Linked DNA regions of Ovis aries. The protein of the gene in region 1 purifies or fractionates together with the protein of each later gene. This does not show direct contact. Links are inferred from orthologs where the notes say so. Each region holds a gene or a part of one and is shown in the gene's direction. Other genes may lie near its edges. The genes, in order: POLR2G, GTF2B, RPAP2, MED1, MED9, MED26 and RPRD2.

Region 1 (4,250 bases):
ATCATTTAGGCAATTCCAAGGGTTTTAGGAGTTCTGTGACAGAAATGGGGAAGAAGACCAAGTATATATGTGTTGGTGTTTTTATTATAAATATCACAGTTACTTTTGTCTTGTTTCAAATTTTTTATTATGAACAATTTCAAACGCAGAAAAGTAGAAGAAAGTGTAAGAAACCACCATTATCCATCATCTGTCTTCAACGATTATTAATATATTGCTAAACTTGTTTCATCTACGTCTTTGCCTTCTTTAGTATAATTCATTTAATCATAAGTTAAGACAACTAAATTTTTCATAACTGCTGTGTTTAACAACTGGCTTGCAAAGTGCCTGAAATATTAACAGTTGGCTTTTGTAAGGGTCTCCAGCACACCACACCATTGCTCTTGCGGGGAGGCTGGTTTCAAAAGAGGGAAGGAGGGAGTTGAGGCTGTTGAGGCCTGCCCTTTGATCTGCTGTCTGCTTCCTCATGTGGTCTCTGGTGGAGGGGATCCCCATGGAGTCTGAGCAGCTGACCAACAACCTCAATCGTTCTAGGAAATGGGCAGCATCAATGGAAACCGGTGTGTGACAGCTCTAAGGAAATCAGGCTTTCTTGCTTACAATATACTAAAACTTGCTCAGGCAACAGGCGAGTTTGTTCAAGACCCCAGGGACTGTGGAGGCTTTAGAACCAGCCGCCCTTGCTGAGCCTTTGTCATAGGGGCGGGTCTCATGGTGTTTCCGAGACTCAGCAGCCCACAGACTACATGCTCATTCTCGTTGTGCTGAGTTTAATAAAGGGACTATCTGCAAAAGGGGGGGGTAGAGCTGAAGGAACAGGTAAAGTTTGCTCACCAGTTCTACAGGCCCTTGTGTGTAAGGGGGCGGGGGAGGGTGGTTAGAGGAGAGCAGTGACTTGAGGTTCTTTTCACACCGGGAGGGGGCGCTGCCTTCTGGGCTCTGACTAGGCCGGTTTCAACTCCAAACTACAAGAGCCCGGTAATAAATGCCTGAATATGCAAGAGCCTTGGAGTCAGGCATGTTGAATTTGAATCTCGACCCTGGGTGACCTCACCCTTCTGAGCCTGGTATCTTATTTGTAAATGAAAGTAATAACAAAGCCTGCCGGGTAGGGTTGCTGTTTAGATTAATTGAGATAAGGATAGCTTCTTACTATGCTTACTATGTGAAAGCAGTCTTCAACTCTTTGCAGAATGAATAGACTCTGCTAAAGCGCTTTATTTATGCGATCTCTCATTAATTAATTCCTTTTAAAGGTATTTATTAAGCATCTAATCTATGCGAGATACTGTTATGCTTAAGGGAGTTGGGCGCTTTGACGGCTGGACGGAGGGGAGGAGCCTCATGGGTTTCCCCACCCACGACAGCGAAGCCCAATGGGGACCCGTGGAGGCTGTGAGTCCCGCCCACTTTTCGGGGCAGGCCCGGAAACGGGGTTGGAGAGGTTGCTGTATTTCCGGTCGGTGTGGCGGCTCCGCTGCTCGTGAAGCGGTAGACCCGGCTCCTGTTCAGCTTCCTTCGGGAAGATGTTTTACCACGTGAGCAGGGCACGGGGTGGCGGCGAGGGCAGGGTCAAGAGGAGGAGCAAGCGGAAGGCCGGGACTAGGGGCGGCTTCTTGCCTCATACTCCTCCCGCTCCTTGCCCGACTCCATTCCAGTTTCCCCCCAGATTTCCCTGGAGCACGAGATTCTGCTGCACCCGCGATACTTCGGCCCTAACTTGCTCAACACGGTGAAACAAAAGCTCTTCACCGAGGTGGAGGGGACCTGCACCGGCAAGTGAGTGTCGCACCCTCCCTGCCGCCTAAACACTGCGCACACGGCTTTCTATGCTTGCACCCGCTTCCCAGCGCCTACACACCGTGAAAGCTTCTGCTACCTACCCTGGCAAGCCCTCTCACCCTTCCAGGCAGTTAGCTGCTTCCTGCTTTGGGTTCCTACGGTGCCCTCTGTGAAGCTCCATAACAGAACTGCCTTTCCTCAGCCAACATTTGTCATTAACTCTGCAAACATTTCTGAAGCTCCGGCTGTGTGCCAGGACTGGGCCCTGGGAACAATGCAGTGAAAAAGACAAAATGAGGTCAGCCCTTTCTTTATCCCTCATACCCAGGGACCTGGCATGGTACATCTTGGGCCTCACTAAAAGCTTGTTGAATGAATGAATGGGCAGGATAAGGCAGATTGAGAGTTAACCGGAGGAAGGAAGAGGAGTGAGACTTGACCATCTCTGGGCTCTGCACAGAGGCGCTCCGCACATGGTGAAGTAAATGAGGGGGGAGGAGCAGGGCCGCAGAGTACTCAGGTATCCAGCATCAGAGTAAGCTGAGGTGTTCTTTGAACATACAGGTTCCTGAGCCTCATCTCATTTCTACAGCATCAAGACTGGGGACCAGCCCGGGAACAGGCATTTTAATGTTTCTCTCAGGTGATTCTGAGACATCGCCAAGGTTGAGATTAAGGACTGCAGCCCTTTTGGACACTGATTGTGAAATTATGAGAGCAGCGTTTGGCATTATAGCTGCTGCTGATTGTCCTGTCTCCTCTCTTGATCATTAAGCTCTCCTGGGGCCAGGGGGCCGACTACTCCCCCCTCTGTGCTCCCCCTTTACCTCTAGGGTCCGTGACTCTTGCAGCAGATGCTTTTTTGTATTTTTTTCCTGGCTGCGTTGGGTCTTCGTTGTTGCACGAGCTTTCTGTAGTCGCAGCAGAAATGAGAAGTGTGTGGGTTTCTCATTGTGGTAGCTTCTCTTGTTGAGGCACACGGGCTCTAGGGCTTGGGCTTAGTAGTTGCAGCGCACTGGCTTAGCTGTTCTGTGGCGTGTGGAATCTTCGGGGACCAGGGATTGAACTTGCGTCCCCTGAATTGGCAGGGGACTTCTTAACCACTGGGCCACCAGGGAAGCCCTGCTGTGGCAGATGGTTTCAGAGGCTCTTCCACACACAGTGTCTCAGTTTCTCTGCCTCCTTGCAGGTATGGCTTTGTAATTGCCGTCACCACCATCGACAATATCGGTGCTGGTGTGATCCAGCCAGGCCGAGGCTTTGTCCTTTATCCAGTTAAGTACAAGGCCATTGTTTTCCGGCCCTTTAAAGGGGAGGTCGTGGATGCGGTGGTAACTCAGGTCAACAAGGTAAGAGCATCCACAGGGGAGGTAGTGGGAAGGTCCCTCTCTTAGAAGATCTGGGATGGGTCCCACTTTGGTCAAATTCTGTGTCTTTGGTCAGATCACTTCTCTGTGCTTCAGGTTTCCTCACCTGTCAAATAGTATGGTACTGCCTCACTCAGGGGCATGTAAGTCAATAGTGAGTCAGAACAGTAGTAGCCTCCACTGTGGACCAGGTAGTGTGCAAAGCCTCTGACTCTGAAATGAGTGCTTTTATCTCCACGCTGAAGCTTGGAGAAGTTGAGTCTTCTGGCCACGGTCACGTGTCCAACAAGTGTTCAAAACCCAGAAGGACAAGTTCTAGGTCTCAGCTGTTTACTGCTACACTTCCTTAGCTTAGAATGAAAGCTTGGAAAAACAAACACACACATGACAAATTTCAGAGTGGTTTCAGAATATGAAGAACATTGTTAGGAACCAGATAAAGATGGGAGGCTTAGGAGACTGGGGGACAAAAGAAAAAGCAAGGTCTCTCTTTTCCCTTCTAGGTTGGACTCTTCACAGAAATCGGGCCCATGTCCTGCTTCATCTCTCGACACGTAAGTCTAGGCACGCTGGGTGGGTCTAAGAAGGAGACCTGTACTCATGAGAATCTACTGAAGCATCCTTTTCAAGTGCTCTTACCCAGTTTGACCTTCCTTTCAGTCCATCCCATCAGAGATGGAATTTGATCCTAACTCCAACCCACCGTGTTACAAAACGATGGATGAGGTGAGTGGGCAGAAGTTGGTGAGAGGGCCAGGGGAATGAGCCACTCTGAGGGAGGGTATTGGCCTGGGGGTTTCTGAGTGTACTGTTCCCTCCTCCCCAGGACATTGTGATTCAGCAGGACGATGAGATCCGCTTGAAGATCGTGGGGACCCGTGTGGACAAGAATGACATCGTGAGTCTCCTGACTGCCTCCCTGCTCATACCAGGCCGAGCTGTTGCATTCTTGCTACTCAGAGTTCTTGGGGATTTTGTGCTCTTCTGCCCGGAAAAAGAGATGGGTGGGCAGAAGGTCTGGGGCTGAGGGTTAGAGGAGAGCTCTCTGCTTGCTTTGGGTTCATTTCCATTTCTCCTTTCCTCCTGCAGTTTGCTATC
Region 2 (3,500 bases), on another chromosome or scaffold:
GTTTTCATTTTTAGCTAGGTTGAAGGCTTTGATAGAACTAATATTTTTCATGTAGTTTTCAGTTTATGCATGAAAACATTACAGCTTATTCAATGTTGCTGTGATACTTGGACATTTTAGCTTGACTATAATTACCCTTCATTCATCCAGGAATATTTTATATGTTGTTTTCTTGTGTCACACTGAAGAGGCAGTGGTTCTTGCAGCTAAAACTAAGACTTCTGTTAAATTTATTCTTAGTGTTAGTTGAAATTTTAGAACAGGGTCAAATAGTTGATCACATTTTGCTGTTGTCTGTAATTGCAGGGATTGCGTGTATGTATGACATTGTGTAACTTGAGAGGCATTCTTTAGTTTGAATATTTTCTTTCATTTTCCTGATATACCCCTTATAACAGATTAATACATATCAAAGAAATTTTTGATTGATTGAAGAAACTTGCGTGAATTGAAACTTCAGAGAAGTTAATATTTTGAAATAGTAAGACCTACATTTAGCTTTTTCTTTTTTAAAGGTGTTGTAAACATTTAAATTAATTGAGAAATTTTAAATTAGTTTTGTGAGAAGTATCACTGAGAGAATTAGATTGATCTTCAAGGCAGGATAGAATTTTGCAGTATATTACTTTTGTAATAAAAAATGATAGATTTATAAGGTGAACTACATGGCCTAGGTGGATTTATTTATTTAAACTTTTTTTGTCTTTTAGAAATATGCGCTGTATCACGAATTTCTAAGAAAGAAATTGGTCGATGTTTTAAACTTATTCTGAAAGCTTTAGAAACCAGTGTGGATTTGATTACAACTGGGGACTTCATGTCCAGGTTTTGTTCCAACCTTTGTCTTCCTAAGCAAGTACAGATGGCAGCGACTCATATAGCCCGTAAAGCTGTGGAACTGGATTTGGTTCCTGGAAGGAGCCCGATATCTGTGGCAGCAGCTGCTATTTACATGGCCTCACAGGCATCAGCTGAGAAAAGGACCCAAAAAGGTAGGATTCTTTATCAGGAAGAGTATTGGTAAAATTGTGAAGGCTGTAGTATGTGATTGTATGTCCATTTTAAGTTATGAAGCAGGTACAGCCATACCTCATTCTGTTGTACCTCACAGACACTGCATTTTTTTTTTAACTGATGGAAGATTTATGGCAATTCTGTTTGTTAGATGATGGTTAACATTTTTGTTTTTTAGTAATAAAAGTTTTTTTTTAATTAGGGTATGTGCGTTCTTTTTTTAGACAAAATTATTTTGCACGCTTAAACTACAGTGTAAACATAATTTTTTATTATGTACTAGGAAACCAAAAAATTCATCTGTTTGGCTTTATTGCAATATTGGCTTTATTTTAGGGGTCTGGAACTGAACCTGCAGTTCTCTGAGGTGTGACAGTAAATATCCAGAGCCTGTGTTTAAGAGGTAGTTCCTTAGCATCAAAACTTAAGAAAATACAATATTTTGCTTTTAAGTGGCTCATAAATAAAAATATTTTGCGGGCATAACCCCGTGTACTTAACTTTTTTGTTCATTTGAATTAAGTAATTTTAGTTCATGCATTTTTTTTTTTTCATTTTTAGAAGTTGTTTTTATTTGTATCCCCTAAATATTTCTGGCTATTTGGAATAGTCTTGTTTTTCCCCACCTCAAAACTTACCTTTTAAGTCTTGATAGGAGGCAGCCATGCTTTGTTTCTCTGGAGCTGGCATGAACCCTACAGATAGGCACACTATAAATGTGTGCTGAGCATCAAGTTTTACCTTTCTGTGAAATCTATTCCCTTTCTTCTTTTGTATGCTGTTCACAGTTTCTTCATGAAAATACTGTTCAGCCTTCAGCTATTTTTAAATTTACTGTTGTAGAACTTTCAGACAAATATTAAGTGAATTTCTTTATAAGCATGTATTTGTTAATTCTGTGATCCTCAAAAAGATTTATAAAGAAAGAGAAGCTGTGTGCTGTGCTCTGCCCAGTCACTCAGTTGTGTCTGACTCTTTGCGACCCTTTGGACTGTAGCCCAGCAGGCTCCTCTGTCCATGGGATTTTTCAAGGGAGAAAATAGTGGAGTGGGTTGCCATTTTCTCCTCCAGCACAACACACAGCATTCACTAATTAATTACTTCTGTGATCCGCAAAAAGTTTTATAAAGAGAAAGGAGCAGTCAGAAATTTAAAAGTGAGGAAGTGAAATTACTTGCTGCATAACTGAATGCCCTATTCAGAATAGCCTTTACCTCAGCTTAGGCTGTATGCTCCTATGTTGATAAAAGTAGTAAATTATATGAAGATGATTAGACAGAAGCAGCCAGCCATTAGGTATTTAAATGTGCCATTATCCATTCCCTTTGGGCTCCACTTGAACTTTTCAAGAAAATTTTGAGTCTTCTTGGAAAATTGAGAAGCTGTGGCTGGGCAGATTGTCCTTACCTTCATTCCTATTAATAGTTGTAAAGTTTATTCTAATCATCTTGACACTTTCTGTTTGTGTTTCACGTGACGGGTTTTCTTGAAATATAAGGTCCTTTCTTTCCCTGCCCAGCAGCTAGTTGATATACATACAGTTTATATTCATTGGTATTTATGTCCAGAAAAATAGAATGTAACATAAGGTAAGGAAATTTAAAATTATTTACTGATGGCTGCATCCACACTTTGAAGCCATAAAATTTCACTGATATCGAACTGGATAAAACTCTGAAAAGATAAAATGAGGTTGTATTAAAGGGTGTGTTTAAAAAATCTATTTTGATTAAGTATAACTAACCAAATAATTGTCATGTGGCAGTCCTTTGGGACTTCATTTAGAAAAAGAAAAAAGTCATACTTGAGTTTAAATGGTAAATGCAGATCCTTGGATTCTTGAGTATAGAAATAACTCAAATGAGCTCAGTATATATGCTCCAGTATGTGTTTATAATAGTGAAAACCATCTATATCATGCTGTAATATATAGCTATTTGATCTCAGATGTGTTAAATAGAAAAAAGAGTTTTGAGAAAAATATTTATAGTGTGATCCCACTTGGTTTTAACCTTATAAGAACCTCTTAATAGAGGTTTGCTAGGGGAGATGTAGGGGAACTTTAAAACACAGAAATAATAAAGTGAATTTCTTTACAAGAATGTATTCGTGGATTACTTCTGTGATCCTCAAAAAAATTTATTGTGAAGAAGTCCATTCTAAATACAGTAAGCAGTATAATAGTTATCACACATTCTGCTATGCCCCGAACTGTTCAGATGTTTTACATATAGTAAACTTTTTAATGTTAATTCAACAATCCTTCAAGATAATAGATATTGAGACCATTATTGTTACTATAGCGCTACTTTCTAACTGTTAAAAATAGTTTTGTTTTCATTTTCACTTAGACATTTTATACCACCAGGTCCCAAAATTAGAATGCAGGTAGAAGGGAGTTAGGACGGAAGTTATACTTAATACTTTGATTTTTGTCTTGTAGAGATTGGAGATATTGCTGGTGTTGCTGATGTTACAATCAGGCA
Region 3 (3,500 bases), on another chromosome or scaffold:
ATTTAAGTTTCAAAAGTGTTAAGGTGTTAGGGATAAAGATCATTTGGGAGTGGAGAAATCAGATGAATTTGAGATCTGTTTTCCTGTGGAGCAGAATGACTATACTTGGCTTTAGAAAATAATACAACAGTAAAGTTTAGTTAATAATGATAATAGTAATTTGCAGGTCTCTTCAACATGGATCTAATTACACGCCTGAGGAGATTATCTTTTATTCTAAGTACTACAATGTGAAGAATATAGATAAGCTGAAACGTATTTCAGGCAGATCACCCAGGATGATCCTTGAGGGTAACCAACTAGGTGTTGAGAGAAGTGATCCTTCATGAATTTATTCCTACTGAAAAATACTTCTACGTTCAATCCAGCTGAATAGTATTAAGCCAGAAATTATAATGAGCTTTGTGAAAATATAAAACAATTCCGTAATTCACACTGAAGTTTTCATTTAAAAATATGTTAACGTGTAATGTATATATTACTATTAAATGAGTTCATGAGTGCTTGAAATTTTTCTCACCTTTAATCCCAGTATGGTAACTATCAACAGATACAATCTGCATAAGCAAAAACTAAGATTATTAAGGACCACTGATGCCCAGAAGTTTGAGTACCACTGCTGTAGACCACACCATGTGTCATGTGGGATAGAAGGGTGCTCTGAGACAGGGCTGTCCATGGGAAACAGCTGTAGATATTCATCAGTTCTGAGGAGTTTGCTGTTCCTGCAGGTTGAGGTAATTAACTCCTTAAATCAGGAACTCCTAATGCACATTCTATTCTGATCTTAGTAAATGACATAGCTTTAATTGGTAAGCAGTGAAATGAGAAAAATAAGGCTTTTCATAAAGCTAAATATTTTCAGTACAAAGAAGTTTGGTACTGCAGAGAAAACTTTTTTTCAGTACAAAGAATATTTAATCTGTGTCCATGTCCTTTTTACATTTTTGATGTAAGATTGGTCTTGATGAAATGGTGGGAGAACAGGTGTTAATTACAAGTTTCTTCTTTGTAGGGAAAGAGCAGATTAACCAAAGTGGTGGTGGTCAGGCTCTCTTGCCCCAGGACATCTCGCTCTGACCCCAGGTTTTGTAAATACATGGTCATGTAACAGCTGAGATAACTTAGAGCACCGCGCACACGCGTCACGATGTACCCACTTGGCCATGGGCCACTTTTGTTCTGTAAACATATATTGGCTCCACCTGAAGAGCTTTTTGGCTGCGTTAGGGCTGTGTCCACTGGGTTAGTCGTGAGAGGAGAGAATACAGTGTATCTGCTGCTACAGCTGTTGTTGCAGTCGGGAGAGAATAAATGGGTCTTCACTTACTATGACTCCTTGAGTTTTCTTCCAGCTTCCCTGCTAACGCCTTGCCTACCCTGGGTTTAGCGAATTCTTGTTTTAATGTCCTTATTTGTCCCTAGCTGGCAGTCTTGTGTCAGTTCTCCAAATTGTTTTTTTGTAAAACATATTGCTCCAGGCAAGAAATTAGATGCTAAAGTCTTCGCAGTCAATAAAGGTAGGGAGAAAAGGTGAGTACATTCTCAGTTCAGTTCAGTCACTGAATCATGTCCGACTCTTTTAGACCCCATGGACTGCAGCACGCTAGGCTTCCCTGTTCATCACCAACTCCCAGAGCTTGCTCAAACCCATGTCCATTGAGTCGGTGATGCCATCCAACCATCTCATCCTCTGATCCCCTTCTCTTCCTGCCTTCAATCTTTCCTAGCATCAAGGTCTTTTCCAATGAGTCCATTCTTCGCATCATGTGGCCGAAGTATTGGAGCTTTATCATCAATCCTTGGAATGAATATTCAGGACTGAGTACATTCTAGGTCCACATATGAGAGCAGTCAAGGTCCATGATGGCAGCAGGGTTGTTCTGGTGGGGGAGTAGAAACTAGTATAGCTAACAAGTCACCAAGATACTTGGTATCTTTGTTCCATGGTACTGGTTCTCAACTCTGTTACACACTAGGTTTATCTGGAGCACTTTTAAGAAAACGCCATTAATTAGAGCCCATCCTCAAAGATTCTTATTTAGTTAGCCTGCAGTGGGACCTGAGCATGGTATCTTTTTTAAAAAAGGTCTCATCAGATGATCTACACTGAGGCGGGAATTGAGGACCACTGTCCTAGGACCATTTTTTGATCAGATAGCCTCTGCTTTTATATGATGCAGGGGGCCTGCAAAGGCTGACAGATTTTCACTGGTGCTTCCTAGATTGTTGTTTTCCAGAAAGAACCATATAGTCATAGCGGTATAGTTATTTAGTAAGACTTTACAACAAAGTAAGTAAATACTTCTTTGCAAGTATGACTCTGTCCTGTTAAACCAGGCTGGCCATTTAGTTAACATTTGAGAATTAGCACAAAGAAATTTGTATTTAAGAGAACAACCAAAATAATATTTTTCCTCTCCATTCCTTTCTGATTTCTAATGATTTCAAGGGAAAAGCCTCCATTTTTAGGTAAAAGCTCAGAGAAATGATAGAGAATGATAAATTATCATTTCAATAATGATAGTTTTATCTGGCAAAAAAGATTTCCTCCTATTTTCTTTTTTGTAGGATACTCTAAATTCTTCCTTGTTCTCTGAGCCCTGGAAATCAAATAATCCTGTTATGACAGACGTCAATAAAAAGTAGTTTGTTTCCCTTTTGAAAAATACTGTATCAAAAGAAACAGCATTTAAAAATATACATTTAACATTAATAGCAAAATAGCACATTGTTAGTGTTTAATTTTAAAATGTAGAAAATGGCTATGCTAAAACTTAAGTAGAATAACTTAAATACCATTTTTTTTTTAAAATTTTAGGAAAGCAGAACTAGAAGCAGCTGTCAGAAAGAAGATTGAGTTTGAGAGAAAAGCTCTACATATTGTGGAACAGCTTTTAGAGGAGAATATTTCAGAAGAATTCCTAAGGGAGTGTGTATGTATTGATAAATTATTACTTCTATAGTATGTTGTTGTTTTGTACAGTGGCTAAGTCAGTCATGTTGGAGGCTTTGCGACCCCATGTACTACAGTACTGCAGGCTTCCCTATCCTTCACTATTTCCTGGAGTTTGCTCAAACTCATGTCCATTGAGTCGATGATACTGTCTAACCAACTCATCCTCTGCCCTCCTCTTTTCGCTTTGCTTCCATCTTTCATAGTGTCAGGGTCTCTCATAATGAATCGGCCCTTCACTTCAGGTGGACAAAGTATTAGAGCTTTAGCATCAGTCCTTCCAGTGAATACTCAGGGTTGATTTCCTTTAGGATTGACTGGTTCATCTCCTTGCAGTCCAGGGGACTCTAGGAGTCTTCTCCAGCACCAGAATTTGGACACATCAATTCTATGACACTCGGCTTTCTTTGTGGTCCAACTCTCACACCCATACATGACTACTGGAAAAACCATAGCTTTGACTATGTATGGACCTTTGTTGGCAGTGTGGTGTCTCTGCTTTTTAATAATACTGTCTAGGTTTGTCATAGCTTTTCTTCCAAGG
Region 4 (3,445 bases), on another chromosome or scaffold:
TTCATTTTGTTTTTTCCATCTTATTTTACAGATGTATGTCGATTCCTGTGACGATGAGGGCTATTCGGAGGAAAGCTGAAACCATTCAGGCCGACACCCCAGCACTGTCCCTCATTGCAGAGACAGTTGAAGACATGGTGAAAAAGAACCTGCCCCCGGCTAGCAGCCCAGGGTATGGCATGACCACAGGCAACAACCCAATGAGTGGTACCACTACACCAACCAACACCTTTCCGGGGGGTCCCATTACCACCTTGTTTAATATGAGCATGAGCATCAAAGATCGGCATGAGTCGGTGGGCCATGGGGAGGACTTCAGCAAGGTATCTCAGAACCCAATTCTTACCAGTTTGTTGCAAATCACAGGGAACGGGGGGTCTACCATTGGCTCGAGTCCGACCCCTCCTCATCACACGCCGCCACCTGTCTCTTCGATGGCCGGCAACACCAAGAACCACCCGATGCTCATGAACCTTCTTAAAGATAATCCTGCCCAGGATTTCTCAACCCTTTATGGAAGCAGCCCTTTAGAAAGGCAGAACTCCTCTTCCGGCTCACCCCGGATGGAAATGTGCTCGGGAAGCAACAAGACAAAGAAGAAGAAGTCATCAAGATTACCACCTGACAAACCAAAGCACCAGACTGAAGATGACTTTCAGAGGGAGCTATTTTCAATGGATGTTGACTCACAAAACCCTATCTTTGATGTCAACATGACAGCTGACACGCTGGATACGCCACACATCACTCCAGCTCCAAGCCAGTGTAGTACTCCCCCAACAACTTACCCGCAACCAGTACCTCACCCCCAACCCAGTATTCAAAGGATGGTCCGACTATCCAGTTCAGACAGCATTGGCCCAGATGTAACTGATATCCTTTCAGACATTGCAGAAGAAGCTTCTAAGCTTCCCAGCACTAGTGACGATTGTCCACCCATTGGCACCCCTGTTCGAGATTCTTCAAGCTCTGGGCATTCTCAGAGTGCCCTCTTTGACCCTGATGTCTTTCAAGCCAATAATAATGAAAATCCATACACTGATCCAGCTGACCTTATTGCAGATGCTGCTGGCAGCCCCAGTAGTGACTCACCTACCAATCATTTTTTTCCTGATGGAGTAGATTTCAATCCTGATTTGTTGAACAGCCAGAGCCAAAGTGGTTTTGGAGAAGAATATTTTGATGAAAGCAGCCAAAGTGGAGATAATGATGATTTCAAAGGATTTGCATCTCAGGCACTAAATACTTTGGGGGTGCCAATGCTTGGAGGTGATAATGGGGAGACTAAGTTTAAAGGCAATAGCCAAGCTGACACGGTTGATTTCAGTATTATAGCAGTGGCTGGTAAGGCTTTGGGTCCTACAGATCTTATGGAGCATCACAGTGGTAGCCAGAGTCCTTTATTGACCACTGGGGACTTAGGGAAAGAAAAGACTCAAAAGAGAGTAAAGGAAGGCAATGGTGCCAGTAATAGTAGTCTGTCAGGGACAGGATTAGACAGCAAACCAGGGAAGCGCAGTCGAACCCCTTCTAATGATGGCAAAAGCAAAGATAAGCCTCCAAAGCGGAAGAAGGCAGACACTGAGGGAAAGTCTCCATCTCACAGTTCTTCTAACCGACCTTTCACCCCACCTACTAGTACAGGTGGATCCAAATCTCCAGGCAGTTCAGGACGATCTCAGACTCCCCCAGGTGTGGCCACACCACCCATTCCCAAAATTACTATTCAGATTCCTAAGGGAACTGTGATGGTGGGCAAGCCCTCTTCTCACAGTCAGTATACCAGCAGTGGTTCTGTGTCTTCCTCAGGAAGTAAAAGCCACCATAGCCATTCTTCCTTATCTTCTGCTTCCAACTCAGGCAAGATGAAAAGCAGTAAATCAGAAGGTTCATCAAGTTCTAAGTTAAGTAGCAGTATATATTCTAGCCAAGGGTCTTCTGGATCTAGCCAGTCCAAAAATTCATCCCAGTCTGGGGGAAAGCCAGGCTCCTCTCCTATTACCAAGCATGGACTGAGCAGTGGCTCCAGCAGCACCAAGATGAAACCTCAAGGGAAGCCATCATCACTTATGAATCCTTCTTTAAGTAAACCAAACATATCCCCTTCCCATTCAAGGCCACCTGGAGGCTCTGATAAGCTTGCCTCTCCAATGAAGCCTGTTCCTGGGACTCCCCCATCCTCTAAAGCCAAGTCCCCTATCAGTTCAGGTTCTGGTGGTTCTCACATGTCTGGAACTAGTTCAAGCACCGGCATGAAGTCATCTTCAGGGTTAGGATCCTCAGGCTCATTGTCTCAGAAAACTCCCCCATCATCTAACTCTTGTACAGCATCTTCCTCTTCCTTTTCCTCAAGTGGCTCTTCCATGTCATCCTCTCAGAACCAGCATGGGAGTTCCAAAGGGAAATCTCCCAGCAGAAATAAGAAGCCGTCTTTAACAGCTGTCATAGATAAACTGAAGCATGGGGTTGTCACCAGTGGCCCTGGGGGTGAAGACCCAATGGACGGCCAAATGGGGGTGAGCACAAATTCTAGCCATCCTGTGTCCTCCAAACATAACATGTCTGGAGGAGAGTTCCAGGGCAAGCGTGAGAAAAGTGATAAAGACAAATCAAAGGTTTCCACCTCGGGGGGCTCAGTGGATTCATCTAAGAAGACCTCAGAGTCTAAAAATGTGGGGAGCACGGGTGTGGCAAAAATTATCATCAGCAAGCATGATGGGGGATCCCCCAGCATTAAAGCCAAAGTGACTTTGCAGAAACCTGGGGAAGGTGGTGGAGAAGGGCTTAGGCCTCAGATGGCCTCTTCCAAAAACTATGGCTCTCCACTCATCAGTGGTTCCACTCCAAAGCATGAGCGTGGCTCTCCCAGCCATAGTAAGTCACCAGCATATACCCCCCAGAATCTGGACAGTGAAAGTGAGTCAGGCTCCTCCATAGCAGAGAAATCTTATCAGAACAGTCCTAGCTCAGATGATGGCATCCGACCTCTTCCAGAATACAGCACAGAGAAGCATAAGAAGCACAAAAAAGAAAAGAAGAAAGTAAAAGACAAAGATAGGGACCGGGACAAAGACCGAGACAAGAAAAAGTCTCATAGCATCAAGCCAGAGAGTTGGTCTAAATCACCCATCTCTTCAGACCAGTCCTTGTCTATGACAAGTAACACAATCTTATCTACAGACAGGCCCTCAAGGCTCAGCCCTGACTTTATGATTGGGGAGGAAGATGACGATCTTATGGATGTGGCCCTGATTGGCAACTAGGAACCTATTTAAAGCAAAAATATGGCCAGAGAAGAACTAAGTGTATAGGCAAATCACCATAAGGAGTGAGTCAGACAGGTCTGATTTTGTATTTAAGAATCTTAAATGGCATGGCTTTGACACCAAGTGGGATGAATTTTGAAAGGCATAGCCGGACCCTACTAAAGAGACCATAGGGTTTG
Region 5 (3,947 bases), on another chromosome or scaffold:
CTCTACAGACTCCTCCTAGATGCCTCTGAAATACCAGCACTGATGCTTCCTTGGCACCGGCCACCTTGCTCTTCAGTAGAGGGGTACTTCCCAACTAGGATGCCACTCCCCATCACACAGCCCCCTCATTGTGGCTTGGGAGGGCTTGTTTTGAGGAACATACCCACAAACCCACCAGGAGTCCCCTACTTTGACCTAAGAGCCCACTGCTGCTAAGTCGCTTCAGTCGTGTCTGACTCTGTGCAGCCCCATAGACAGCCACCCACCAAGCTCCGCCGCCCGTGGGATTCTCCAGGCAAGAACACAGGAGTGGGTTGCCATTTCCTTCTCCAATGCATGAAAGTGAAACTGAAGTCGCTCCGTCGTGTCCGACTCTTAGCAATCCCATGGACTGCAGCCTACCAGGCTCCTCCATCCATGGGATTTTCTAGGCAAGAGTACTGGAGTGGGGTGCCATTGCCTTCTCCGCCTAAGAGCCCAGGGCTCATGCAAAGGACACCTTCAAAGGTCAGCCATGTGTCTGAAGTTGGAAAGTGGTTTGGGCTCTGCCATGACCCTGAACTAAAGATTTTAGAGGTGAGCACACTGAGACCGGGGGCTTCAGGAGCTGGCCCACAGGTACGGAGAGTAGCTGACACTGACTTCTCCCTCGGATACAGTATTTATTCCTGGTACTAATCCCCTTCGGCCATCTCTGCTCGGAGTAAGTTGAGACAGACCTCACCCTTCCCCCACAGTTAGCACAGCGTGTGTCACCCAGAAGATGCATATTAACTGTTCGGTTTATTTCAGGGTCCATAGGGTAGGCGCAAGACCTCGTCCCTGGAGGCTTCTGCGCGGGTGGGAGCCGTGGGTCCTTCCCCTCGGATCCTCCACGGGCCCAGGGCCTGACACCCGCAGGTGCGGAGGTGCTGTCCACTCTTCCTGAGGCCCCATTTATCTTCCTCTACAGGTTGCTTTTGGATTCTCTTTGTAACGTGAATAGGAATGAGATGTTATTCCTGAAGTATACCTTCTATTTCTGACTTTTGAAAAATTTAGCTGTCTCTGCGCACCACCAAATCCAGGCTACCAAGGACCAGCCGCCTGTTGCCTAGTAACGACCGCCAGGCCCGGCCCCGCCTCCGCGGCGCACGATGGTGACGTCATAATCAGCAACACTTCCGGCGCGCGAAGCCGACTGTCCCCCTGATCGGCTGCTGGGGTCCGGGACACGATGGCTTCTGTGGGGGTTGCTGCCGGCCGGCAGGGTGAGGACACGCTGCCGCCGCCCGCAGAGCCTCCGCTGCCGGAGATGAAGCCGCTGCCGCAGCCGCAGCCGCCGCCGTCTGTCTCTGCGCAGCAGCCGCAGCCCGCGCCGAAGCCTCCATCCCCTGCCGGCGTGAAGGCGGAGGAGAACTGCTCCTTCCTTCCCTTGGTTCACAGCATCATCAAATGGTAAGGGCCCGGGGGAATCAGCCCGCACGCCCCCGCTGCCCATCACATGTCCAAAATCCAGGGGCGCCCCGCGGTACCAAGGGGGAGACACACCCGGAGGGGAGCGGCCACGCCGAGGCCACCGCGAGCAGTCCCAAGAGTTCAGCATTCCCTCCTGGGAGTTACCAGGCCCCGTGCTGGCAAGCAGCGTTCTTAAAACGAAGCCGATGTAGACAGCAAGTGCACAGACGCTGCGGGCAGACCATTGGGGTGCAGCCTGGTGAGCCTGTTTTCCCACAGATCCGACAGATACGGGTCATCTTCCATGTGTGGCACACTGCTAAGTGCTGTGGCGTGTACACGTGGAGGGGCCGACTTTTCATCCCCACCTTGCTCACCAGTTAGAAGGGGAAACTAATGAGCGGAATAACCCATAATGCAAAGAGATTATAGGGGTGATGTTGGGAATTTTACAGGAGTAGGACGCTGCCCTCCGGACAGCACTGGGGTGCCCTGTCCCGGCGACACGGGGTGATTGTCTGCTTTTGGCCAGTCTTCAGATCACCTGAGTTTTCAAACTTATCCTTAGAAGGAAAACACACACACACACACAGCCAAAATCTCCCCAATCCCCACATTTGCCCAAATTATTGTTAACTGTTATTTATGTCTACATGATAGCAAAGTTTAAACCCCTGGGCTTGAACTTTTTATTCAGCCATTAAAAAATAAAAGCAAAGTGGATTACAACAAAGTTGTAATCTTTTACAGTAACAAAGTTGTTATTTTTACAGTAACATTCAAGTGAACATCAACATGCTCTTGGATGTTTTGCTGAAATGGAATTGATACTCACAATACAAAAGTATTGGTGATGGCCTAGCCGGTTTAGAGTTGAGGCGGATTAGATTCACTTGCCCTGGGATGACCTGACACTTCCACTGCTTTTCAGACGACTGTGAAGACTTTGTTCTCACAGTAGTCACAGTAGACCTTGACTTCATCTGGCTTCACTTGGTGTGAACATAGTGTTTATCGGGCAAGGCAAACTGTTCTATTCCCAGGAGCCTGTGATCAGGTAGCACTTCTAGGCAGAGTGACCAAGCAAACACACACAGAAGCAGCCCTGGAGTCCCAGGCATTATCCAGGATCAAGCCAAATATGCTTATTCGGGTTTTAGAAAAAAATACGGAAAAATGAAAACACACAGTGTTCTCCGAGTCTATTTTTGACCCTGATAGAGCAGTTGGGTTGGGCTGGCCTTAAAGATGGAACTGTATTGTCTGTGAGAAAGAACATGGGCTTTGAAGTCAGATCTTCTTGAGTTCAGATCTGCATGTTGATGCTTGCTTGTGTTGGAATTTTAGTTAAGTGCATAGCCTTTCTAGACCTTGATTTTCTTATCTCTAATATATGAGTAATAATTGTTCTTTGTTCAGTCGCTCAGTTGTATCTGACTCTTTGGAATCCCATGGACTGCAGCACACCAGATTTCCCCATCCTTCACTATCTCCCAGAGTCTACTCAATCTCATGTCCATTGAATAGGTGTTGCCATCCAAAAATGAACCACAGATGATAGCTCTATAAGGTACCAGCTGAATGACCTTGGTCAGACAGCTTAAAGGCTTGTACTTTCCCAAGATTTGTTTTAGGAGAGAGTCAGCCAGAGTGTCTGGACTGGGGAACACTAGGCACATTGTGGGAGCTGGGGGAGGGGAGCCATACTGAGAATAGGAGCTTGAGAGCAAGTCCACAGACTGGACATTGAGACCCAGCCCCACCCTTCACCCATACCTCCCCTTTCCTGTCCCCAGCTTCTCAACTGACAGCCAAAGAAAATAGACTCTCTTGGGTGTCTGACCCCAGAGACACTGAACCAGGGAGTCGAGGAGTCATCCGAAGTTTTTGAGCTAGTGCTTGGGTTTTGTGAAGGTAGATGGGACAGAGGGCTTTAGGAGGAGGAGAGGACTGGGGTCCACAGGAAGCTGGGGAGTAGGAGGAGGAACAGGGATGAACTGCAGGTGGTGGCAGGCAGAGCTGCAGCACTGACTGAGGGGACTGTGGGTGCCCAGCACACACAGGTGCAGGTGTGGGATGGTCATCCCCATTCAGACCGCAGGTGATCAGTTACAAACATCCACATACTCGTAACAGCCATGTCATCTAGCTGTCCGAGGTGCATTTCAGGTGAAAAAAGAACCAAGAATCAGAACCATGTGTGTAGTGTGGTTACATTTTTGTCAAAACAAATTGAAAAGTGATTCAGTTACACATATATGGACATTCTTTTAAAAAAAATATTCTCTTCCATTATGGTTTATCATAGCTATTAAGTATAGTTCTCTGTGCTATATGGTAGAACCTTATTGTTTAAAAAAAATTTTTTTTTTTGTTTGTTTGTACCTTGTCCTTTCAGACTTATGTGTTGTGAATCAGTTTTCTTAAAACTATAATTTAATTTCAAAATTGCCTTGGGACTTAAATTCATAACAATGTGTTAGCACATATGCCATCCAAATGGAATGATT
Region 6 (4,246 bases), on another chromosome or scaffold:
TTAAAGCGAGGTAATTTGCCCATATTTATTTTATCCTACAAGTGTGATGTAAAACTTTTCACACGTGCAGGAGCAGGCAACCACAACCACGTGGGGCAGCAGCCGTTTTTTGCAAATAAAAACGCTTCCCAGAAGCATGACAAATGGAAGACTAACAGGTGTAGCACAGAGCCGCCGAGGCGCGCATGTGGTTCTCATCAGCTGCCTCTCTCCTGTTTTAAATGTAGGTCTTCCTGTAACAAGAAGAAAAGTTATTTCTCTCGAGGCTGCGGCTAATGATCCACTCACTCACCTGCCTTTCTTACCCGTTTGCATAACCGTATATGTAATAAGAGCTTCCACGGAGAGCCGGCAATGAAAGAAGGCAATGAGGAGGCGAGGGGCCAGGAGAAGCCCTTAGACTTGACATTTAACAGTTCTGGGTTTGATCGGTAACTCTGGGTGACCTAGGGCCTCAGTTTCCTCCTTGGTAAGGGTGTTTCAGTTTTCCAGCACCACCATGCAAAGCAGGGTGGGAAGGTCTTTTAAACCAGTGATTCTCAACAGGGGTCGATTCTACCAGCCAGGTGACCTCTGGCAGTGACTGGGGACATTTTTGGTCCCCTGCAGGAAAAGGGTGTTACTGGCAGAGACCAGGGATGCTGCCGAACATCTTGCAACGCACAGGACAGGCCCTACAACAGAGTGATCCAGCCCCAAATGTTACTGGTGCCCAGGCTGAGAAACGCCGGAGTGGACACAGGTTTGCAACGTTGGTGTCAACTCATGCGGCCTCGGGGCTTTCCTAGCTGCGGTAGCGGCTCCTCCGTGAGACACTTTGCTGTCTCATGTTTTGGGGATCGTAGCCCGAGGCGCTGCAGACCCCCGACTCGCACCGCCCCCTCTGGAGCGTCCCACAGCGCTCCTCAGTTGACCCTTCCGCGCACAGAATTACAACGTGGACGTCTGCCTCCTGGCCTCCCCGAACGCAGAGGAGCTGGGAAGGACCCCGGGGCGCAGGAAACTTGGCAGCTTCTCCCGCCCGCGATTCCCGTCATCTTCGTCAGAATGGGAAAAGCTTTTCTACCCTAGGAGTGAGGTCCTTCATCTGCCCTGTCCGCCCAGAGCGCCAGGGTTCAAGGACTCGGCGCTCACCTAGCGTTTCCGTCGGAAACCTCCTGCCGCCACCCCCTCAACCTCCAGGCTTGGGTGGGGGCGGGGCCTCCAGGCGGCGGCCGTTGCCCCGCCCAACCGCCTCCCAACGGCTCCCTGGGCCAAGCGGTGGGGCGGAACAGAGGTGGGGGCGACTGCGCCTGCGCGCGCATGCGTGGAGTCTAGGGGCGTGGCCTGCAGGTGGCCCCGCCCAGACTCAGCGTCTCTGCCCGCCCTATCTCCCAACCTCCTCAGCGTGGCGCCGACGCTGCGTGCGGCGCGGGTTACCCAGAGTGCTTCGCGCGGGGGTAGCTCACTGGAGTTTGGTTCTCGAGGCGGCGGCAGCAGCGGCGACGGCTCCGGCGGCTCCTCCTCCTCCTCTGGTGGTGGCGGCGCCCCGGGCCTGAGCCCCGGCCCCGGCTCACCTCTCCGTCACCCCGCGCGCCCCCTCTTTCCCCGGCGCCGCGGGGAACATGAGGCTCCGCTCCCGGAGGCCGGCGAGTGAGTGACCCCGGTTCCCCGCCTCAGCCCGCCCGCCCGCTGGCCCGGCCGCTCCCCCCCCGCCTCGCCCAGGCAATGACAGCGGCTCCGCCGTCTCCGCAGCAGATCAGGGACCGGCTGCTGCAGGCCATCGACCCCCAGAGCAACGTAAGTACTCCTCACACGGGTTAAAGTGGAGGCCGCGTGGGCCCAGGACCCTCCCCCTCCCTAGTGCTCCTAGTCCGCCGGGCTCCGAAGGATCCCCCGGACACCCAGCTGCCCCTGAGGGCCGCTGCCATCCCTGTCTCTCTTCCCCCGGGCCCGGGCCGGGGGCTGGTCGGGCAGCCCGGCAGCGCTCGGTACGTGAGGCCGAGGCTTTAATGCGGCCTGGGCGAAGGGAGCAGATGGGAGCTGAGACTAGAGTTTTTCCCCCTCATCCACCCTAATTCTACGACCCTTGCTGTTCCTGACTGTGCTTGCCCACCTCGCCCTTACCATAGTACCCGCGACCCCCGGGAAGCCCTCCCGGCGGGGGGGGAGGGGAGGGGGAAAGGCTGTGAGCAACTGGTGTCCGGGGTAGGACTCGGGGAGCCCGTGCCGCCGGTGTCTCGGCCTTATCGATGAGGAGGGAAGTCTTATTTACCTTGCCTCCCGGCTGGAAGAACCTTTCTGGCTTCGAAGGGAGCCCCCCTGGCCTCCTTTACACCTAGCCGGGTGCCCAAGGCTCGTGGAGAGTCCCTTTCGGTTCTGAGAGTGGACTTGCTTCGCTGGGTCTCTCTTGGGGTCGCTGCCAACGGAAGATGATCTTGTAGAGAGTGGGATTCTTCCTATTACCTTTCTGGGCCTAAGTATTCCTTGCGTATCAGACCAAGGCAGAGCCCCGCTTTTGGGTAGTGAATTAGAGGTGATTATGTGCTCTCCCATTCCACCCAGAGCCCTTCTTCGTGTGCCCCCTACGTGGGGCCCTAGCCTGTTGGTTTGTGACCTAGACAGTCAGGGTTAACCCCAGGGTGTCGATTTCTCAGGTGCTGCTCCACTGAGGCTGCTGTTTGTGGAGGGATCTCCCCTGCCCTTCACCGTGTGTGTTGGGAAGGATTTATCTAATTCTCATATTTTCTCTGAGTGGTTGTCCGTGATAGGGGTTATTTTCCCTTGTGGCCAGAGCAGGTTCAGCAATGGCAAGATGTTGTAGCATCCAGGTATGAAGTGAGCCCCTGCATTTCCTGGGAGACCAGGAAGTGGCCATTGAAACCACTTTAATGTGCTGGGGATGGAAGAAATAAACCATCTTCGGCTTGGCCAGGTAACTTAGGTTTCTGTCACTGTGGGGACTTTTGCTTTTCCTTTACATGAGTTTTGCTGATTACTTTTAGCAGTAGGTTTTAGCCAGCACTGTGGGAATAATTCATGGTTGGATTGTACAAATTTGGTAGAAAGAGAGGAGTTGTGATCTTTATAAGACTGATTTCTGTATCATAAGTAATTCCTGGTCTTCAGGCCCCATGAAGATAGACTTGGTGGTACTTGTCTTTAACAAATGTTGTATACATTTTTGTTATGACTTTGGGGGTGGAGTAGGCACAAGCTATATAAAACCTTGCAGAATTTTTGCAGTAACTGGTGCTGCAGCAATTCCCAAGACTGAAAAAGTAGAGGATAAAACAAGTGAAATGAAAAATGTAGCCTTGATGACTTTCACCTCAGAGTGTAATTTCTCGAATTCCATGTGCTTGTTTGCCTTGCAGAGATTCTGAATGGTTGCTGAGATATTAGCACTGATCCTAATACCACCTAGGAGAGCTTTGGGATCAGGAGGCGCTTTAACAGGCAGTCACCATGTTGTAGATTAGGTGGGGCGGTGACCTCAGGGGTTCCAGTGTTTTGTAAGACTCTAAAGGGTTCCTAGGAGAACAGGAGGAAGAGGGTCCAAGCCCATGGATGTGTTCCGTATCATGGAGTGCACATTTCACGTGGCTTCTCTGGGACGACTCAGAGTCTTACTGATGTAAGTGTAGTGGATAAAATCGGGGTACTGTCTCTGAATATGAGTGATGAGAAAGTGCCTCCTTTAAATGCTGCTGTTGTCAGTGATGTTCCTGGGTGTTGTTACAAGCCATTTGACAGGAGTGTGGCTTGGAGCAAACTCCGCGGAGAAACTCAGAGCTGTGGAGGAATAGGTTGCCGGTAGAGATGGTGTGACCATATTTCTGCAGTTTCTCTTGATTGAACTGGGCCCAGGTGAGAGCTAGGTGGCTTCATCAAGGCATTGCCAGCACACAGCTGCTCTTCTCTGCCTTACCCAAGTAGAAACTCCACTTCTGCATAGTTAGTTGACACATATTTAAGATGCTCCTGGAAAATAAAAATGGGGACAGCGTTGAAGAGCCAACACTAAAATTAAACCTCTTTTGAGACAAGCGACTGAGAATTGTGTCATTAATGCTTACCTTTATGGGCATGCAGTTATGACAACAAACTTAACTTTTGCTTGAAAAGTCAATGTCAGGGAGCTGACTTAATATCCACAAGTATCTAAAAAGTTAGGGAAGTAACAAAGTAACATTTTCTGATCATCTCCCTGACAAAGAGAGTTCTTAAGAGGAAAGTTCTTTGCTCTAAATTCTAGCTTCTGGAG
Region 7 (3,500 bases), on another chromosome or scaffold:
CAGCAGCAACAAGAAGAGCACTATCGCATAGAGACTCGAGTCTCCTCCTCCTGCTTAGACTTGCCTGATAGTACCGAAGAGAAGGGGGCCCCTATAGAAACCTTGGGTTATCATAACGCATCCAATAGGAGGATGTCAGGCGAGCCAATACAGACTGTAGAGTCCATCCGAGTCCCTGGGAAGGGAAATAGAGGACATGGGCGTGAGGCTTCCAGGGTGGGTTGGTTTGATCTGAGCACCTCAGGAGGCTCCTTTGACAATGGCCCCTCAAGTGCCTCTGAGTTGGCATCCCTTGGGGGTGGGGGCAGCGGAGGCCTCACTGGCTTTAAAACAGCACCATACAAAGAACGAGCACCCCAATTTCAGGAAAGTGTCGGCAGCTTCCGTTCCAACAGTTTCAACTCAACATTTGAGCATCATCTCCCCCCATCCCCCTTGGATCATGGGACACCCTTCCAGAGAGAGCCAGTGGGGCCATCATCTGCCCCACCCGCCCCTCCTAAGGATCATGGTGGTATCTTCTCTCGAGATGCACCTACTCATCTACCCTCTGTGGATCTTTCGAACCCCTTCGCAAAGGAGGCAGCCCTGGCCCACGCTGCCCCACCTCCTGGGGAGCACGGCGGAGTTCCTTTCCCCACCCCACCCCCTCCTCCGCCCCCCGGGGAGCATAGCGGCAGTGGCGGGAGTGGCGTCCCCTTTTCTGCTCCTCCTCCTCCTCCACCTCCTGGTGACCGCTCTGGGGTTGTGCCCTTCCCAGCCCCACCACTGGCAGAGCACGGAGTGGCGGGGGCCGTGGCAGTGTTTCCCAAGGACCATAGTTCCCTCCTTCAGGGGACCCTGGCTGATCATTTCGGGGTGCTCCCAGGACCCAGGGACCATGGGGCCCCCACCCAGCGGGACCTCAACGGCCCCGGCCTTAGCCGTGTGCGCGAGAGCCTGAGCCTGCCCTCCCATTCTTTGGAGCACTTGGGCCCAGCCCATGGAGGAGGAGGTGGGGGAGGCGGCAACAGCAGCAGTGGCCCCCCCTTGGGTCCCTCGCACAGAGACGCCATCAACCGGAGTGGTATGATCTTGCGGAGTCCCCGGCCAGACTTCCGGCCTAGGGAGCCTTTTCTCAGCAGAGACCCTTTCCACAGTTTAAAGAGACCCAGGCCACCTTTCGCTAGGGGCCCTCCGTTCTTTGCACCAAAACGCCCATTCTTCCCTCCCAGGTACTGATGGAAACTAAGGGAAAGGCATTTGAACAGTAGAGAGCGTTGGAAGTAGGAGTTTGGTTTATTATCATTGTTTTTATTTGTTCTCCCTCCTTTGACCTATTTTTTCTTTCTTTTTTTTTATTATGACAAAGGACCTCCCTTCCAAATTAAAAAGTTTATATGCTTACATTTCACTATTCCATCCAGTCCTCCCACCCACTGCACTTATACCTACCTTTTCCAAGATGTTTGTATTTTAAGGGGGTGGGGGCCAAAGAAACACAACTAAAGCCACTTCATTTGGCTGGGGGTTTGAAGGGTGGGGAGGAGAACAAATTTATTTTCCCCCATCTATTGAAGAGTATTACTACATTTGAAATAAAACTTCCATCAGTACAGATAATACCATGTGCAATGTTGGGATGTCATTTGGGGCTTGGCTTCTCACGTGGTCAATGGAGGGATTCTTGTCCCCTTCTCTCTCCAGCTCAGTTACCTGCTGTTAGCCGTCTGGCTGTCTTCCCTGTGTGCTCTGTGGCCTGCGGACAGCCAAGAGATGTTGCAGGGGAGGAGATGTGGGAGACCTCGGACCTGTCAAGTTATTTGAGGGTTTTCTTTTGTTTTAAAAGGCATGTGGAAGTTGAGTTCTTGACCTTTCTCCCAAAGTCTAAGCCTTTGTTTTTTAATTTAGCCTCTTCTGAGGTTCTATCAGGCAACAACTTTAAGGAAATACGGACCTCATTTTATCCTAGTAAGGAATTTTCCTCCTTTGATTAGAGGAAAGAGGGCCAGGTATATTAAAATTAAAAGAATAAGTAACTGCAGTACAGACAGAGAGGAGCCATTGATGGTGTGATCTGACTTGGCCATCTGTCATAAACATATTTCTGAGGTGGTTTCACATATCTGGCATCAAGCTCTTGCTTCCTGCTGCTTTTTTTTTTTCATTGACTTTTTCTCCCTCAGTTTTCTCGTCTGCATTTCTAGTCTACCCAGAAAGTCACTGTACTTGACAGTAGATACAGAGGTGCAACTGAAACATTCTGATATTATCCCAGTTGTGTTTTTTTTTTTTAAGTAGACATTTTTACCATGGTGCCTCCCTAATGTAACATTTGTTGGTAGTTATCACCAAAAGTTAACTATGGGGAAAGGAAAGTATTTGTCTTTATCTTTTACCCTTGACCTAGTCCTGTATTCACCCCTCTTGGTATTCTGAAGGAGGTAGTTTAGTAGCATCTTTCTTTATACCTCTTTAGTTCTGTCTTAGTGACAAATGGATGTTACACATATCCTTGCAGACACACAGGAGGACCTGATTAGTTTAAATTTACCCCACTCTGTGGATAATGACCTGTCACATTTCAAGGCTCACACCTTATCCTTACCTCCCACTCTCAATAGAAAATGTTTATGCCCTTAGTCATTTTACATGAAAAAAAAAAAAAGTGCTTTTTTTCTCCCTGAACTGAAAAGCTCCTTATTTGTATTTCTACAGCTAGTACTGGGAAAAGACAATCACTGCGCTTTGAGTGTTTAGGGACACTGAAAAGCAAATGTTGCTTTACTACATTTTTTAATTTAGTGTCTTACCGTAAAGTACACACTGGTAATCTCCAGCCAGAAGAGTAAAAGACTATAAAAGGAAATCCTAGCAAGTTTCATATTTTCTTCCAAGTTAGTGTAGAAGTAACTGTAGGAAGTGTAGGGATTGCTTTGGATTCACCCGGTGAAGTTTTACAGATGGGAGAGCGTGGGCAGTGTAGTGACAGAAGATGATTCTTTGTCTCAGAATAAGCTTGCTTTGCAGGTAAAAGAGCAGCTCAAACCAGGTGTGCATCATAGTTTGGGAGTTTTTGTGTAACTTATTCCATGTTACTTGTTTGGGCTCTCCAAAACATGGAGTCCTCCATCTTCCTAATGCATTTCTGGTCTTAGGCCAGCTGTTCGTCCTTTGACCTTCTCAAGCCTCTGCGCTGTAGCTCTCCCTGCAGAAAAATGCATGATACCACAATGTTGTAAGTGGGATGAGGTATATAGTGTAGCAAAGCAAAGAAACAATACAGTTATACTGAGTCCTAAGACATTTGTTTAGAGAAAAGCATAAGAGAGTGTGAGGGTGGGGTGGGGGGAGGTTAAAGGGAGGAAGTTTTAACTCAAGACTGAAATAGATTTTTTTTTCTTTTGCAGAAAATTAAGTGGGATGTTTTTCATTCTAGAATAAAAGAATGTGAATTCTTTCTGCTGCTCTCGAGTAATCTAAAAGTAGTGTTTACTTGAAAAGGCTCTCTGACCATTTGA

What was found.
Region 2: the proteins of POLR2G (region 1) and GTF2B purify together in Homo sapiens (affinity purification with mass spectrometry; 3 studies listed by BioGRID and IntAct, with this or other methods). This does not show direct contact. The link is inferred for Ovis aries from reciprocal best matches to the Homo sapiens genes POLR2G and GTF2B.
Region 3: the proteins of POLR2G (region 1) and RPAP2 purify together in Homo sapiens (affinity purification with mass spectrometry; 5 studies listed by BioGRID and IntAct, counting the BioPlex papers as one, with this or other methods). This does not show direct contact. The link is inferred for Ovis aries from reciprocal best matches to the Homo sapiens genes POLR2G and RPAP2.
Region 4: the proteins of POLR2G (region 1) and MED1 purify together in Homo sapiens (affinity purification with mass spectrometry; 3 studies listed by BioGRID and IntAct, with this or other methods). This does not show direct contact. The link is inferred for Ovis aries from reciprocal best matches to the Homo sapiens genes POLR2G and MED1.
Region 5: the proteins of POLR2G (region 1) and MED9 purify together in Homo sapiens (affinity purification with mass spectrometry; 3 studies listed by BioGRID and IntAct, with this or other methods). This does not show direct contact. The link is inferred for Ovis aries from reciprocal best matches to the Homo sapiens genes POLR2G and MED9.
Region 6: the proteins of POLR2G (region 1) and MED26 purify together in Homo sapiens (affinity purification with mass spectrometry; 6 studies listed by BioGRID and IntAct, counting the BioPlex papers as one, with this or other methods). This does not show direct contact. The link is inferred for Ovis aries from reciprocal best matches to the Homo sapiens genes POLR2G and MED26.
Region 7: the proteins of POLR2G (region 1) and RPRD2 purify together in Homo sapiens (affinity purification with mass spectrometry; 3 studies listed by BioGRID and IntAct, counting the BioPlex papers as one, with this or other methods). This does not show direct contact. The link is inferred for Ovis aries from reciprocal best matches to the Homo sapiens genes POLR2G and RPRD2.

What each region holds. Positions count from the first base shown.
Region 1 is NC_056074.1:37,615,647-37,619,896, forward strand, and holds the start of POLR2G (DNA-directed RNA polymerase II subunit RPB7), read left to right. Parts: upstream 1-1,450; 5' UTR 1,451-1,529; coding exon 1,530-1,541; intron 1,542-1,672; coding exon 1,673-1,782; intron 1,783-2,974; coding exon 2,975-3,134; intron 3,135-3,655; coding exon 3,656-3,706; intron 3,707-3,812; coding exon 3,813-3,878; intron 3,879-3,978; coding exon 3,979-4,179; 3' UTR 4,180-4,241; coding exon of another isoform or gene 4,242-4,250. UniProt on the Homo sapiens protein: Core component of RNA polymerase II (Pol II), a DNA-dependent RNA polymerase which synthesizes mRNA precursors and many functional non-coding RNAs using the four ribonucleoside triphosphates as substrates.
Region 2 is NC_056054.1:66,095,862-66,099,361, reverse strand, and holds part of GTF2B (transcription initiation factor IIB), read left to right. Parts: intron 1-710; coding exon 711-992; intron 993-3,457; coding exon 3,458-3,500. UniProt on the Homo sapiens protein: General transcription factor that plays a role in transcription initiation by RNA polymerase II (Pol II). Involved in the pre-initiation complex (PIC) formation and Pol II recruitment at promoter DNA.
Region 3 is NC_056054.1:69,554,721-69,558,220, forward strand, and holds part of RPAP2 (putative RNA polymerase II subunit B1 CTD phosphatase RPAP2), read left to right. Parts: intron 1-2,821; coding exon 2,822-2,936; intron 2,937-3,500.
Region 4 is NC_056064.1:39,589,409-39,592,853, reverse strand, and holds part of MED1 (mediator of RNA polymerase II transcription subunit 1), read left to right. Parts: intron 1-31; coding exon 32-3,263; 3' UTR 3,264-3,445. UniProt on the Homo sapiens protein: Component of the Mediator complex, a coactivator involved in the regulated transcription of nearly all RNA polymerase II-dependent genes.
Region 5 is NC_056064.1:34,574,073-34,578,019, reverse strand, and holds the start of MED9 (mediator of RNA polymerase II transcription subunit 9), read left to right. Parts: upstream 1-1,147; 5' UTR 1,148-1,216; coding exon 1,217-1,437; intron 1,438-3,947.
Region 6 is NC_056058.1:6,189,003-6,193,248, forward strand, and holds the start of MED26 (mediator of RNA polymerase II transcription subunit 26), read left to right. Parts: upstream 1-1,446; 5' UTR 1,447-1,707; coding exon 1,708-1,779; exon of another isoform or gene 1,780-4,246. UniProt on the Homo sapiens protein: Component of the Mediator complex, a coactivator involved in the regulated transcription of nearly all RNA polymerase II-dependent genes.
Region 7 is NC_056054.1:100,508,208-100,511,707, forward strand, and holds part of RPRD2 (regulation of nuclear pre-mRNA domain-containing protein 2), read left to right. Parts: coding exon 1-1,214; coding exon of another isoform or gene 1,215-1,221; exon of another isoform or gene 1,222-3,500.